2 linked regions of the Caenorhabditis elegans genome follow. The protein of the gene in region 1 binds, or shares a complex with, the protein of each later gene. Each region holds a gene or a part of one and is shown on either strand. Other genes may lie near its edges. The genes, in order: leo-1 and pafo-1.

Evidence for each region.
Region 2: leo-1 (region 1) and pafo-1 share a complex: the UniProt entries of both Caenorhabditis elegans proteins name them as parts of the PAF1 complex.

Annotation. Positions count from the first base shown.
Region 1 is NC_003282.8:11,325,914-11,332,103, reverse strand, and holds leo-1 (RNA polymerase-associated protein LEO1), read left to right. Parts: upstream 1-2,734; coding exon 2,735-2,790; intron 2,791-2,837; coding exon 2,838-3,234; intron 3,235-3,281; coding exon 3,282-3,455; intron 3,456-3,502; coding exon 3,503-3,597; intron 3,598-3,645; coding exon 3,646-3,745; intron 3,746-3,797; coding exon 3,798-4,128; intron 4,129-4,198; coding exon 4,199-4,338; 3' UTR 4,339-4,483; downstream 4,484-6,190. Other genes in the region: sart-3 (Spliceosome associated factor 3, U4/U6 recycling protein), read left to right, coding at 1-314, 463-611, 671-1,272, 1,320-1,657, 1,715-1,828, 1,878-2,172, 2,225-2,340; B0035.21 (Kinesin motor domain-containing protein), read right to left, coding at 4,535-4,598, 4,645-4,748; his-45 (Histone H3), read right to left, coding at 5,106-5,516; his-46 (Histone H4), read left to right, coding at 5,775-6,086. UniProt on the Caenorhabditis elegans protein: Component of the PAF1 complex which is a multifunctional complex involved in transcription initiation via genetic interactions with TATA-binding proteins, elongation and transcription-coupled histone modification.
Region 2 is NC_003283.11:11,518,712-11,525,069, forward strand, and holds pafo-1 (RNA polymerase II-associated factor 1 homolog), read left to right. Parts: upstream 1-2,991; 5' UTR 2,992-3,054; coding exon 3,055-3,095; intron 3,096-3,146; coding exon 3,147-3,248; intron 3,249-3,297; coding exon 3,298-3,424; intron 3,425-3,478; coding exon 3,479-3,739; intron 3,740-3,791; coding exon 3,792-4,401; intron 4,402-4,457; coding exon 4,458-4,594; 3' UTR 4,595-4,673; downstream 4,674-6,358. Other genes in the region: C55A6.7 (DeHydrogenases, Short chain), read right to left, coding at 773-874, 922-1,446, 1,594-1,722; C55A6.11 (uncharacterized protein), read left to right, coding at 1,921-2,007, 2,245-2,670, 2,716-2,823. UniProt on the Caenorhabditis elegans protein: Component of the PAF1 complex which is a multifunctional complex involved in transcription initiation via genetic interactions with TATA-binding proteins, elongation and transcription-coupled histone modification.

The sequences.
Region 1 (6,190 bases):
AGCTCGAAGATGTTTATGTTTTAGCTGAACAATTCTGCACAGAATTCAAACAACATCATAAACTCGAAGAACTGAAAAAGACATATAATTCAACAATGCGACAGAAGGAACAATTGTCAAAGTTCGAGGAGCTCATTCAACAGGAAGAAACCAAAAAGCAAGGTCTGAAACAGTTTTTTGATCACGAGAAGAAGAGTGGAATTCCTAGTAGAATAAAAATGGCTCACGAGAGGCTTGTTTCTGAGTTGGACGATGACGAGGAAGCTTGGATTGCATATGGAGCATGGGCAGATATTGAACTTAAATTGCCACAGGTAAGGAAATACTTTTTATTATAGAATTATCGGAAATATCCAGAGGTCTGTCTAGAGATTATAATTATCTTTAAGATTCGAAAAAAATATTGTTGAATATTATTATTTTACTAAAGCTTCCATTGGATTATTGAATTATTTTGTTCAGGTTGCTGTAAAAGTGTACTCTCGAGCTCTGCGTCATTGTCCATACAGTTTTGTTCTCCATCAACAAGCTCTTCTCGCCTTCGAACGAGATCGTCGGCCAAATGAGGAAATTGATGCATTATGGGAACGAGCAAGAAGCAATGTTATCAAGTTAGTTTCTTTTTTGAATACATACAGTAGTCTTATATATTTATTCGGTGTAATTTCAGTTCTGCCGAAGAAGGACGGAGTCTTTACCGTACCTATGCTTTTTTGCTTCGCCGTCGAATTCATCTCACTGGTTCTTCGGATTACTCTCCAATGGCTGAAGTGTTTGATGAAGGTGCAGCGCTACTCAGAGAATGGTTTTCAATGGCTTGGGATACTACAGCAGATTATCGACAAATGCAAGCATATTTCTATGCTTCATTAATGAAGAACATGGACAAATGTCGAAATATCTGGAATGATATTCTTGCATCAGGATTCGGAAGATTTGCCGGAAAATGGATTGAAGCTGTTCGTCTTGAGCGACAATTCGGTGATAAAGAAAATGCTCGAAAATATCTAAACAAAGCTCTCAATTCTGTATCGGATAACATCAACGAAATCTATATGTACTATGTTCAATTTGAAAGAGAAGAAGGAACATTGGCTGAGTTGGATTTGGTTCTTGAGAAAGTGAATTCACAGGTTGCTCATCGAGCCATTCGACCACAAAAGAAAGTTTCTGAGAAACCAGCTCCAGCTCCTAAATCAAAGCAAGATCATATTCAGAAGAGAACGTCGGGAGGTGAACCAATTGTAAAAAAAGTGAAAGGAGACGACGGAGGTAAATAATTTTTAAAAGTAAAGAAGTTAATTTGAATTAAATTTTAGGATTCAAAGCTCCACTTCCACCATCCAATGCGAAAAGTTCATCAGCTGTATCCTCTTCAAATGCTTCGTCGACACCAGCTCCAGGTTCCTTTGCAGTTCAGAAAGCAGCTCCAGGAACGGAAGATGCTCGCACAATTTTTGTTTCTAATCTCGATTTCACTACGACGGAAGACGAAATTCGACAAGCCATTGAAGGTGTTGCTTCAATTCGATTCGCAAGAAAAGCGAATTCGGATCTTGTGCACAGAGGGTTCGCCTATGTTGTAATGGAGAATGATCAGAAGGCACAGCAAGCTCTCTTGAAAGATCGAGTTCCTGTGAAGGGAAGGCCAATGTTTGTAAGTTTTAATTTTACTTTATAAATATTTGTGAAATTTTAATTTCTGAAAATTCAGATCTCCGCCAACGATCCAGAAAAACGGGTTGGATTCAAATTCTCAACCACTCTTGAAAAATCGAAAGTCTTCGTTCGCAATGTCCACTTCCAGGCAACCGACGATGAGTTAAAGGTAATATATACTTATCTATCATTTTATATTCTAAATCGATACATTTCAGGCATTATTCTCGAAATTCGGTACAGTAACCAGTGTTCGACGCGTGACTCATAAAGATGGAAAACCAAAAGGAATCGCATTCGTAGATTTTGACACAGAAGCAAGTGCTCAAAAATGTGTTGCTTCTGGTGATAAATTGATGCTTCGAGAAAGAGAACTAGAGGTAGCGTTATCCAATCCACCAGTAAAAAAGGATAAATCGCATGGAAAACCAGCAGCAATTGGAGCAAGTTTGGAAGAAGATGGACCTAGAAAAGGACATGCTGCAAAACTGCAATTGGTTCCCAGAGCTATTAGTAAGTATATCATCTTTAGTTCCCAGCTTAGCATAAAAAAATCCATTTTCAGCAAACAAAACTCCTCAAATCACTGCTCGGCTGGACGCAATGGATGTTTCCGAAGGCACTTCAACGTCTCAGCCACTTTCAAATGATCAATTCCGTAAAATGTTTATGAAAAATTAGGGCCGTTTTTCACCAGAAACTTTCATTGTTCATATCAAGATTCATTTAGTTATTTAATTTCTATTACGTTCCCCAGTGTCTCCTTTCCAATTAAAATTCCGGTAGATGCTATTTTTGATGTTCTCGCTATAATTATATTTGTTCTTCACTACGAATTGCAAGATTTAGTTTCATAACTGTTCATAATCCTTGTTTTCTTTTTGTTTGCTAATAATTTGTAATAGAGATCCCCCAATATTCATTTTCAACTTATTGCCTATGGATAAGAAAATCTGAATTTTCAACAACTACTTTTATTATTCAATTTTTATCGGTATATTCGACCCCAAATTATTACTTTGTTTTGCTACTTTCGCTATTCAAAGAACTTAGGTATGCAATATTTTCAATTCAGATGTCATCTTCTGAGGGTAATTCTGACGCTTCTGCACCAGGAACACCAGTTAAATCGTAAGTAAATGGTAATTGTGTTTCTAAAATAATATAATTCAATTCAGATCAACTCCATCTTCTCGTGGATCGTCGCCAGATTCACCAAAAAAACAAGAACCGTCTAAGAAAAGAGCGATATTAAATGAGTCCGACGATGATGATGATTCTCGTCCTGCTCCTCGACAATTGTCCGATTCTTCTGACGATAACATTCATCCGAGAGGAGGAGGTGAAAAGAGTTCCCCCGGTGCTGGTGGTGGTTTGTTCGGTGATCTCTCTGGCTCTTCCGACGATGATTCCGACAGAGAAGGAAAGCCGAAAGAATCAAATACAAGAGCACGATTGTCAGATTCCGATGCGGAGAGTCGTGGAAGTTTGAATGATTTGCAAGGAATTGTGATGGCTAATCCAGATGAAATAGATGAAGATGAAAAAGCAAAGGAGCATGTTCATGATACTGAAGTAAACATTTTCAATGAAATAATGTGATTAAAACATTGATTTTCCAGATGGTAACAGGTCGTGTTACTTTGGAGTACGCTGCAGATCCACCACATTTTGTCAGAATGCCAAACTTTCTATCAGTCGCCACTCATCCATTTGATCCACAACATTACGAGGAAGACGAAGATGATGAGCAGGCGAAATTGGATGATGAAGGACGAACACGTCTCAAATTGAGAGTATGTCTGTGTTATAAATACATCTCATCAAATATACAATTTTTAAGGTGGAAAATACACTTCGCTGGCGAGTTCGCAAAGATGAAAATGGAAAAGAAATTCGAGAGAGTAATGCAAAAATTGTAAAATGGGACGATGGAACGTTAGTTTTCAATTGATGCAAAATTTCCATATCGTGACTTAATTTCAGAATGTCTCTATACCTCGGAAACGAAATTTTCGAAGTCTCATTGGTGCCGCTGAATTCCAATAATCTTCCCCATCTTTACGTTAAGCAGCCAACATTAATGGTATTTTGATTGTTAATGTTTTTATTTTAATCAAAATTTATGTCATTTTTAGTCGGCTCAAGCTGTTCTTACACATCGTATGACCTTCCGTCCTCACTCGACTGATTCCCAAACTCACAGAAAAGTCACACTCAATATGGCAGATCGAAGCAGGAAGAATGCTCAAGTTAAAGTCATGGACGATGTTGGTCAGAATCCGGAAATTACACGGCGTGAGAATGCCCGGAAGGAGGAAGAATCACTTCGTGCACACATCCGACGTACTCAGATGGTTCGGAATAACTTTAAAGTTCGTGGTCCGAGATATGCAGGACAATATTCTGATGATGAAGATATGCCAACGTCATCCAGAAAAGGAAAGAAGAAGGAAGCACCAATTATTGGTAAGTTCAATTTAATTTTGATTAGGACTTTACCAGAATAAAGAAACTGTACTACAATAATATATTTCAGGTGCCAGCTCAGAAAGTGAGGACGATCATGCGGATACCACAAAGAAAAGCGGATCGGATAGCGATTCTGATGAAGAGTACCGAAAGAGAAAACAACAACAAAAGAAACAGATTGTCACCAGTGACGAAGAATCTGACTAAATTTATTTCAATTTTGATCCTCACAATTTTATATTTCGCGAATTCAATATTTCTCCCTTTACAATATTTCGAAAATGTTTTCCTTTCCTTATTTATTTTAGTCTTCGATATTTCGAGATAATGAAACATCCACAATATTATGAAAAACCGAGCTTTTATTTCTTAATTTCAATCAGATTGTATGTAATATTTAAAATCATACATCCACTACGTCTTCCTCGCTTCTCAAAGAATTGGCATCAAGTGTCGTATCATAAATTCTGAAACTTGAAATAATCTACGATTTCAGAATTCTCAAAATCAAACCTCCGTGTTTTATCGTTTTCCATTGCTCTTGGGGAAATCGATACATTTAATATCAACTGAGCTTCTTCTTGATTTCCAGAGCTTCTCGATCGCAGTAAAAACATCAATATAATGATTTGAAAGAAGATTCCATAAATTAAAATTCGAAAAACTATAGGTTTTGACTTTTGATTCCAGAGTATTTTAAACATCTTTGTGGAAAATGTAGGAAATGATTTTTCACGTTTGATAAAGAAACTGACTAATAAATTTTTACATCTAACAACAAATCTTTGAATCAATCATATTATAATATACACGGAACCACTATGTCCGAAAGATTTAAAATTTAAAAAAATTGAAATTGAAAAAAGTATTCATTGAATATTAAAATGGATTTGAGGATATTTGTGGCCCTAAAGAGGGCCGTTGGGTTCGGTTAAGTTTTGAGATTAAGCTTGCTCAACTACCAAAAAAGGTATTTAAGCGCGCTCTCCTCGGATGCGTCTGGCCAATTGGATATCCTTTGGCATGATGGTGACTCGCTTAGCGTGGATGGCACACAAGTTGGTGTCCTCGAAGAGTCCGACAAGGTAAGCCTCGGCAGCCTCCTGAAGAGCCATGACAGCGGAAGATTGGAATCGAAGATCGGTCTTGAAATCCTGAGCAATCTCACGAACAAGGCGCTGGAATGGTGCTCTGCGGATTAGAAGTTCGGTTGATTTCTGGTAACGTCTGATCTCACGAAGAGCGACGGTTCCTGGGCGATAACGATGTGGTTTCTTGACTCCTCCGGAAGCTGGAGCCGATTTGCGGGCAGCTTTGGTGGCCAATTGCTTTCTTGGAGCCTTTCCTCCGGTCGATTTACGGGCGGTTTGCTTGGTACGAGCCATTGCGTTTAGGTTGATAATCCGTGGGGACTGTAAAAAAGAGAAACCAACGACTGCCTTTGTACGCAGCTGCGGTGGGAGGGCGGGCGGGCGCACTTCTGTCCTTGTGGCAATTAGAACATTCGGTGTGTTACAGACAAAGGAAAGGTGTCCTCGCAGAGTGGTGCAATGTGACTCCGCCTAGCCACCACAGCTGTGTACAAAAGGAATACTGTGATGTCATTTCTTCATCTCACTTGTGAGTCTTCAACGAATTCAACAATGTCCGGACGTGGAAAGGGAGGAAAAGGCCTTGGAAAAGGTGGTGCCAAGCGCCATCGCAAAGTTCTCCGTGATAACATCCAAGGTATCACCAAGCCAGCCATTCGCCGTCTCGCCAGAAGAGGAGGAGTCAAGAGAATCTCCGGATTGATCTACGAGGAAACCCGTGGAGTCTTGAAGGTGTTCCTTGAGAACGTCATCCGTGATGCTGTCACCTACTGCGAGCACGCCAAGAGAAAGACCGTCACCGCCATGGACGTCGTCTACGCTCTGAAGCGCCAAGGAAGAACTCTGTACGGATTCGGAGGATAATTATTATCTTTTCTGTTTTCATACAAACCAAATACCGAACCCAACGGCCCTCTTTAGGGCCACAAATATCCAAAATCCTAATTGATCTCGTTAAATAAATCTTA
Region 2 (6,358 bases), on another chromosome or scaffold:
CTCATTAAGAAGTGAAAACCTGAGTTTGCCAATGAACTGTTGAGATGAGAGAAACTAGGTAAATCAAAGAGGTTTGGTCATTTCGCTACATAAATCACAAATATACAGTGCTCCACATAATGATACGGCCACCCCCAAATTTTGGTATAACTCAAAACTGGGTTGAGATAGCAAAACATAGTTTCTTGTGAAAATGTTCGCTGTACTGGCTAACTTTCAGATAAGTATTGGAAATATACATGAACCGTTCGTAAAAAAAGATAAACCATTTTTTGATGAAAAACCATATAAAAAAATCCACAAAATGATACGGCCACCCTTGGTTTTTGTTTTCTTTTTTCGTTTTTTTTTGCAATTTTTTTTTGCTAAACGTTAGGTTTCATGCTCGTTTGTGTTTTTACAGCTATGTGTCGTGGAATAACTTTAACTGACTACGAAAAAGGACAAATTGTGCAAAATTATCTCAAGGCTTCTCGGATCGTCAGATTTTTCGTGATTTGAAACGTTCAAGAGATATGATCATTCGATATGCTTCAAATCCTGCCGCTTATTGCACCAAATTTTGAAATTTTTGCATCTTGATCTTTTAGGTCCCCATATCTGATTGTTTACTTCAATGTTAATTCTATTTCAATACTTTATCAGAAAGAAGTTTCTAAGAAGTTTGATACAACACATAAACAATACAGATTTAAATAAAACCAAGAAGAACACAGTGAAAGTAAATCAGTCGTACAACAATCATTAAATGGATAAAAAAGGGCTGAAAACTTTAATACGGAATAATTGAAAGATCTCTTCGGAAATATCCGCCATTGTGTGTTGCTCCTAGTTTGTTGAATGCCGCCAATATTTGTGAGGAAGATTCCTCAATCTGAAAAGGAACAATTATAACTATGAAATTCAAAAGCATGATCTTACAGTAAGTTGTCCTTTCCCTTTACTCATATCAGTTTGAACCATTCCTGGACAAATTCCAGCTGTTAAAATATGATCATCTTTTAGATCAATTGAGAGAGTTTTTGTAAACTGATTCACCGCACACTTCGTCATTCGATATGCCATTGCTTTATATTCACCAGAACCACTGGTATTTTCAGAAATTGAACCAAGAAATTCGGATGCAATATTAATGATTGCACCACGAGAAACGGAAAGTGTATCGCCTTCCTGTCGTTTCGAAGCTTTGATTATGAGTGGTACAAGGCTTTGTGTAAGCATCATTGGACCAATTGTATTTGACTCAAACAAATCCAGAACAACTTTTCGATCAGGTTTTTGTTTTGTTACATATGGAAGCATCACAGCTGCATTATTTATAAGAAGAGTTAATCCAGATTCTCCAACAATTTCAGACACTTTTTCAGCAAAATTTGCAATTGATTCATCGGATCCGAGTGAGAGTTGAAGAATGTGAAGTCGTGGATCACAAATTCCCTTGAGAGCCTGAAAAATTGGAAATTAAGAATGCCGTAGTCCAATACATGTTGTTGGGAAATTTTTACCATATACAAATATTAGGAACACAAACCTAATACAAATAACTATAATCTCAGCAACGGATAAAGTATAAATAAACTCGAAAAAACTTACAGTTGCCTTATCAACATCTCTTGCAGTCGCAATGACATGCTGAACATTTGGATCTTTCAGAAATTGTTGAACTAATCCAAATCCCAATCCTCGATTGGATCCGGTTACCACAACTGATTTTGGAGACATTTTCACTAGAATTTAAGCATAGAATTGAATTAACAGAAATCGAAAATCAATGAATGATGATTATTATTTCTTATCAATAGTATTTCTCTTCTGTTCTGCAAAATAAACAGCGTGATGAACTGCCACAATAATTAGTTTGGTTTATTGCAGTTTTTAGTTTATTTCGGAATTTCTGAGAAGAGATCAAAGAATTAGACAATGAAGAAAACTATGATAATTTCGATTTTGGTTAATACAGTTTTGCTCTTCAATCAAGTGTTGGTTGCGAACGGGGAAAATGTGAATGTAGGTTTACACAGGAGATGTTATAAAGGACTTTCCTTGGTTCTATTCCTGAGCTTTTCCAGTTGTCCCTGGGAAATTTTCTTTCAAATATTTTTAATGAAAGAGAAACGATAGACAAAAAAAGATAGACAAAAAACTAGGCGCAATTTGTTTTGCTATTGTTATGTTTTTGTAGGTTATGAGCAATTTCAAAATAAGATCTTTCTAGAAAATTGTAAAAATATTATTTCATTCAAGGTATCCTGCCCAATTTTATCCCGAACTCGACACAAAGAACTTCGAACTTTCATGTACAAAAACTGCACTTCCGGTTTCAAGACATGCTTTCAACAAATTATGCTCACTGAAATCGTTCGAAATGAGCAACACGCATTTCTATTTGCCTCTGGTTGTGCTTCGAAGGAAATTCTCAAGCCATTCAATCTAACCGAGGAAACATTCATGAAGTTATGTGACAAGAAAAAAGTGGGACGATGTGTTCATACATACCAGCATCGAGTTTATTATGGTACACTCTGCTGTGAAAGGAATTCGGAAAAAATGTTCGGATCTTGGCTGTGGGATGTTTTCTTTGGAAGTAGTGAAGAGCTAAATGCTGAAATGGAGAATACTGTTAGCTTTGTTCAGCGTGAAAGTATCGGAATGCACGATGATCATGATAATGTAGGCTTTAAAAGTTCACAACCCCACATTTATATAATTTTCCAGAAAGGAGCATTGGCTCTCTACATTGCTGGACCATTCATTGTCACCTTTATATTTACATTATTGTCCCTTTTACAATATTATCATGTTAATGATGGCATTTTGTCATAAAATAAATATTATCGTGACGAGAACGCTGGAAATTCACAAAACAAAAAATACTTTTTGAACACCCGCGCAAAACTGGTTATGCGCCATTGTTCCCTGCTGACGCGCATTGAGCGCTTGCGCAAAACCCGTGTGTGAGAGTTTGAATTTAATTCCCTCGGTGACTAGTTTTTTCGATTTGCAGCCGTTTCTGCCGATTGGTATCTTAATATTATAACTAAATTACTATAAAAAATGCCCCAAGAATCCTCAGATGCCAAAAGGATTGAACCTCCGTAAGTATTATTGTTTTGAATCGCTAGAAAAGTTTTGAAAACATTTTGCAGACGAAAAGTGGATTTCATGCTGAAACCTCGATTTACCAATACTGTTCCTGATGTCCCATTTGATGCAAAGTTTATGACTTGTCCATTTGTTCCTCTGGGAAGGTACACCAATTTTGAAACGTTTGACATTGTTCAATATCTCTGAATTTAGATTTGTCGAATTCCAACCTGCTGCCATTTATCGAGATTACAAGCATGCAGTCATTTGTGACGACGACATGGGTTTGAATGTCGATTTGATTGATCTAAAAAAATACGACGAAGATCCAATCGAAACTGTAGGTTTTTTCCTGAAATATACAGTTTCAAAGATAGAAATGTTTCACTTTTAGGAAATTGATGAGAAAGACAATATTTTACTGGAAGATGATGGCGCCGCTAAATTGATTGCAAAACGATCTCAACAGCATTCTAAACTTGTTCCATGGATGAGAAAAACCGAGTACATTTCAACTGAATTCAATCGGTTCGGTGTGACAGCCGATAGACAGGAGACGAAGCTTGGTTATAACTTGAAGAAAAATCAACAAGTTGAAGATATGTATCGTGACAAGCAGAGTCAAATTGATGCCATTAACAAGACATTTGAAGATGTAAGTACCAGAATATATTTTTTTGATTTAAATCTACTTTTGCGTATTTTAGGTTCGTAAACCCGTCAAGGAGCATTACTCCAAGAAGGGTGTAAAAGCTGTTGAAGAAAGCTTTGTCTTCCCTGATTTCGATCACTGGAAACACCTCTTTGCTCATGTACAATTTGATGGAGACACTATAACAACAGAATTCGAAGAAGAAGATGAACGACAACAAGCACGGGAGAGCAGTGTTATTAAAGCCATGGAATTCGAAGATCAAAAATTTGCAGCAGTTTTTGTTCCAACGATTGGATGTCTTACGAGTTTTATGGATGATCTTGAGTTAGAACGACCATTTGATGAGGATATGAAGTACGAATTCTTGCTAAGCCGTGAATACACATTTAAAATGGAACACTTGCCACCAAGGGATCGTGACGTCTTCATTATGTATCATCGTAATAACGTTTTCCAGTACAACGAAGTTGACTGTAATGTCAAGATGACAAGAAAACCAAAAATGGCATTGAGCAGAAAATCCAAATTGACACTCACATACCGAAATCCTTCCGAACTGGAACAAAAAGACATGAATAAAAGAGAGGCTGAGTTATACGAACAGCCAAAGACCAGAAAACAAGAGATTCTGGAAAAGATTCAAGAGAAGAAAGAAGAAGGTGGTGAGTAAATTTAAGTTTTGAAGTGTTATTTTCCACGCGAACATGCAATTTTTCAGGAGACAGTTCAGATCAGAGCAGTGATTCTGATGACGACAAGCCGCAGAAATCACGATCTGATAGCTCTTCGGACGTTTCATCAGATGACGATTCACCACGGAAAAAGGAACCGACTGTTGACAGCGACAGTGATTGATCTCAAATTTTTAAAATTGTTTTTCTATTTATTTTACCTAATCAAATTGGTTTTTCTCAGTAAACTTGATAACGATTTCAACTATTTGTTCGATTGATCTTCATGAATCTTCGCTAAAAGTGCAAGTATGATTTGACTCACAATTGAAGAAAAAACCAACAGCGGAAACACCAACACCCGCAAAGTTCTGTTTGTGTAGGTGTCTGTTGCTTGCGCTTATGTGCTCCACGTTCTATTCTTTGATTTGTCATGCGGAAGCAACAGGATCAGAGGGCAAGACGTTTAGTTTTGGGGGAAATTCGAACTACCGTTCTGATTGGAATGCGTATTGCGAAACATTGAATATATCCCGTAGCGAAAACTACAGTAATTCTTTAAATGACTACTGTAGCAATAGATTTTCGAAACTACAGTGCATTTTTTTTCCACTTCTACGACTTTAAAGGCGCGCGTATTTATACAAAATGGTCCCGTCATTGGTCTCGCCACGCGCTCAACAAATCAAAGGGATGCGCGTGGCGAGACCATTGCGCGAAAATGCGCGCGCCTTTAAAGTCGTAGAAGTTGTAAAAAAAGCACTGTATTCCAAAAGAAATTCATTTCAAAATTCCAGCCCGTAAATCGACACAAGCACTACAGTAGTCATTTCAAGAATTACTGTAGTTTTCGTGATACTTTGAGCGTCAAACATGTTACGCAATATGGATTCTCATAATTTTTTGTTCCCGGAATAAGAAAGTTTTCTGGGGACAGAAACACATTTAAAAAAGTACAATTATGGAACTATTGGAATGGAAATCCGTTCAATTTGTCAAAATATGAAAATAGTTTTCAATGCCACCGTTCACAGATCCTCATCATTATCATGATATTTTGGCATAACATTAATATTACCAGTTTCTGTTTCTTCCGCAACACGCCGCTTGTTGTAGCTTTCTCTCTCGGCTCTTTTTGTGTGTGCCTGTCTGTGGGTGGGGGTGGGTGTGTGTGTGTGCTTACAAAAACTTCAACAAAACTGCCTCGATGCTTCTACCAACACCCGCGCGAGAGGCTTCCCCCAGTTTCACTTGTTGAAAGAGAAAACCACGTGCGTGAAGAATGGGAACACTGTAGGTTTTTTATTAGATTGACATAAAATACAATCGTGGGCATATTGGCGTAGGAAATACGAAAATGATCAGAGAATCATGTCATAGAAGTCTTAGACTTGATATTGAAATTTTTTTTAAATCATTGAATTATCATAACAAGTCTACCAGAATATTTTCTTTCGCTGTGCACACTGTAATCTTCTAACGGACACTGGAAAAAGTTTCAGACTGTCAATTCTCGATAATCATTAGCACCTGTTTTCCAAACGACCTTTCAACGATCTTCAGCAGTGTGACTTTCTTTGGCGTTAAAAAATTATTATAAAAATTTAGAGCCAAGAATTCCAATTTGAAAATGTAATAGTGCGAATTTGAATTTTGCTTGAAAACAGTCTGAATGTCGAAAATGCCACAGAAGAGAGTTATAAAAATTGAGAAATGAAAAATCCAACTCTACTTTCAGGAAACTTTGTATACTTAAGTAGCACCTTAAATCATAAAAATTACAAAAATAGTATTGAATCACATTTAACAAGGTGCATAGATTATGACCAAGTCAATCGGGATATTTCGTAGATCCCGTCATAATTCAGTTGAAGGAAGCATAATTCGCGGGAAGATACTTCAAGACTTCCAAAAAATCTTATTCGAAATTACAATTCTCGAGAACAAC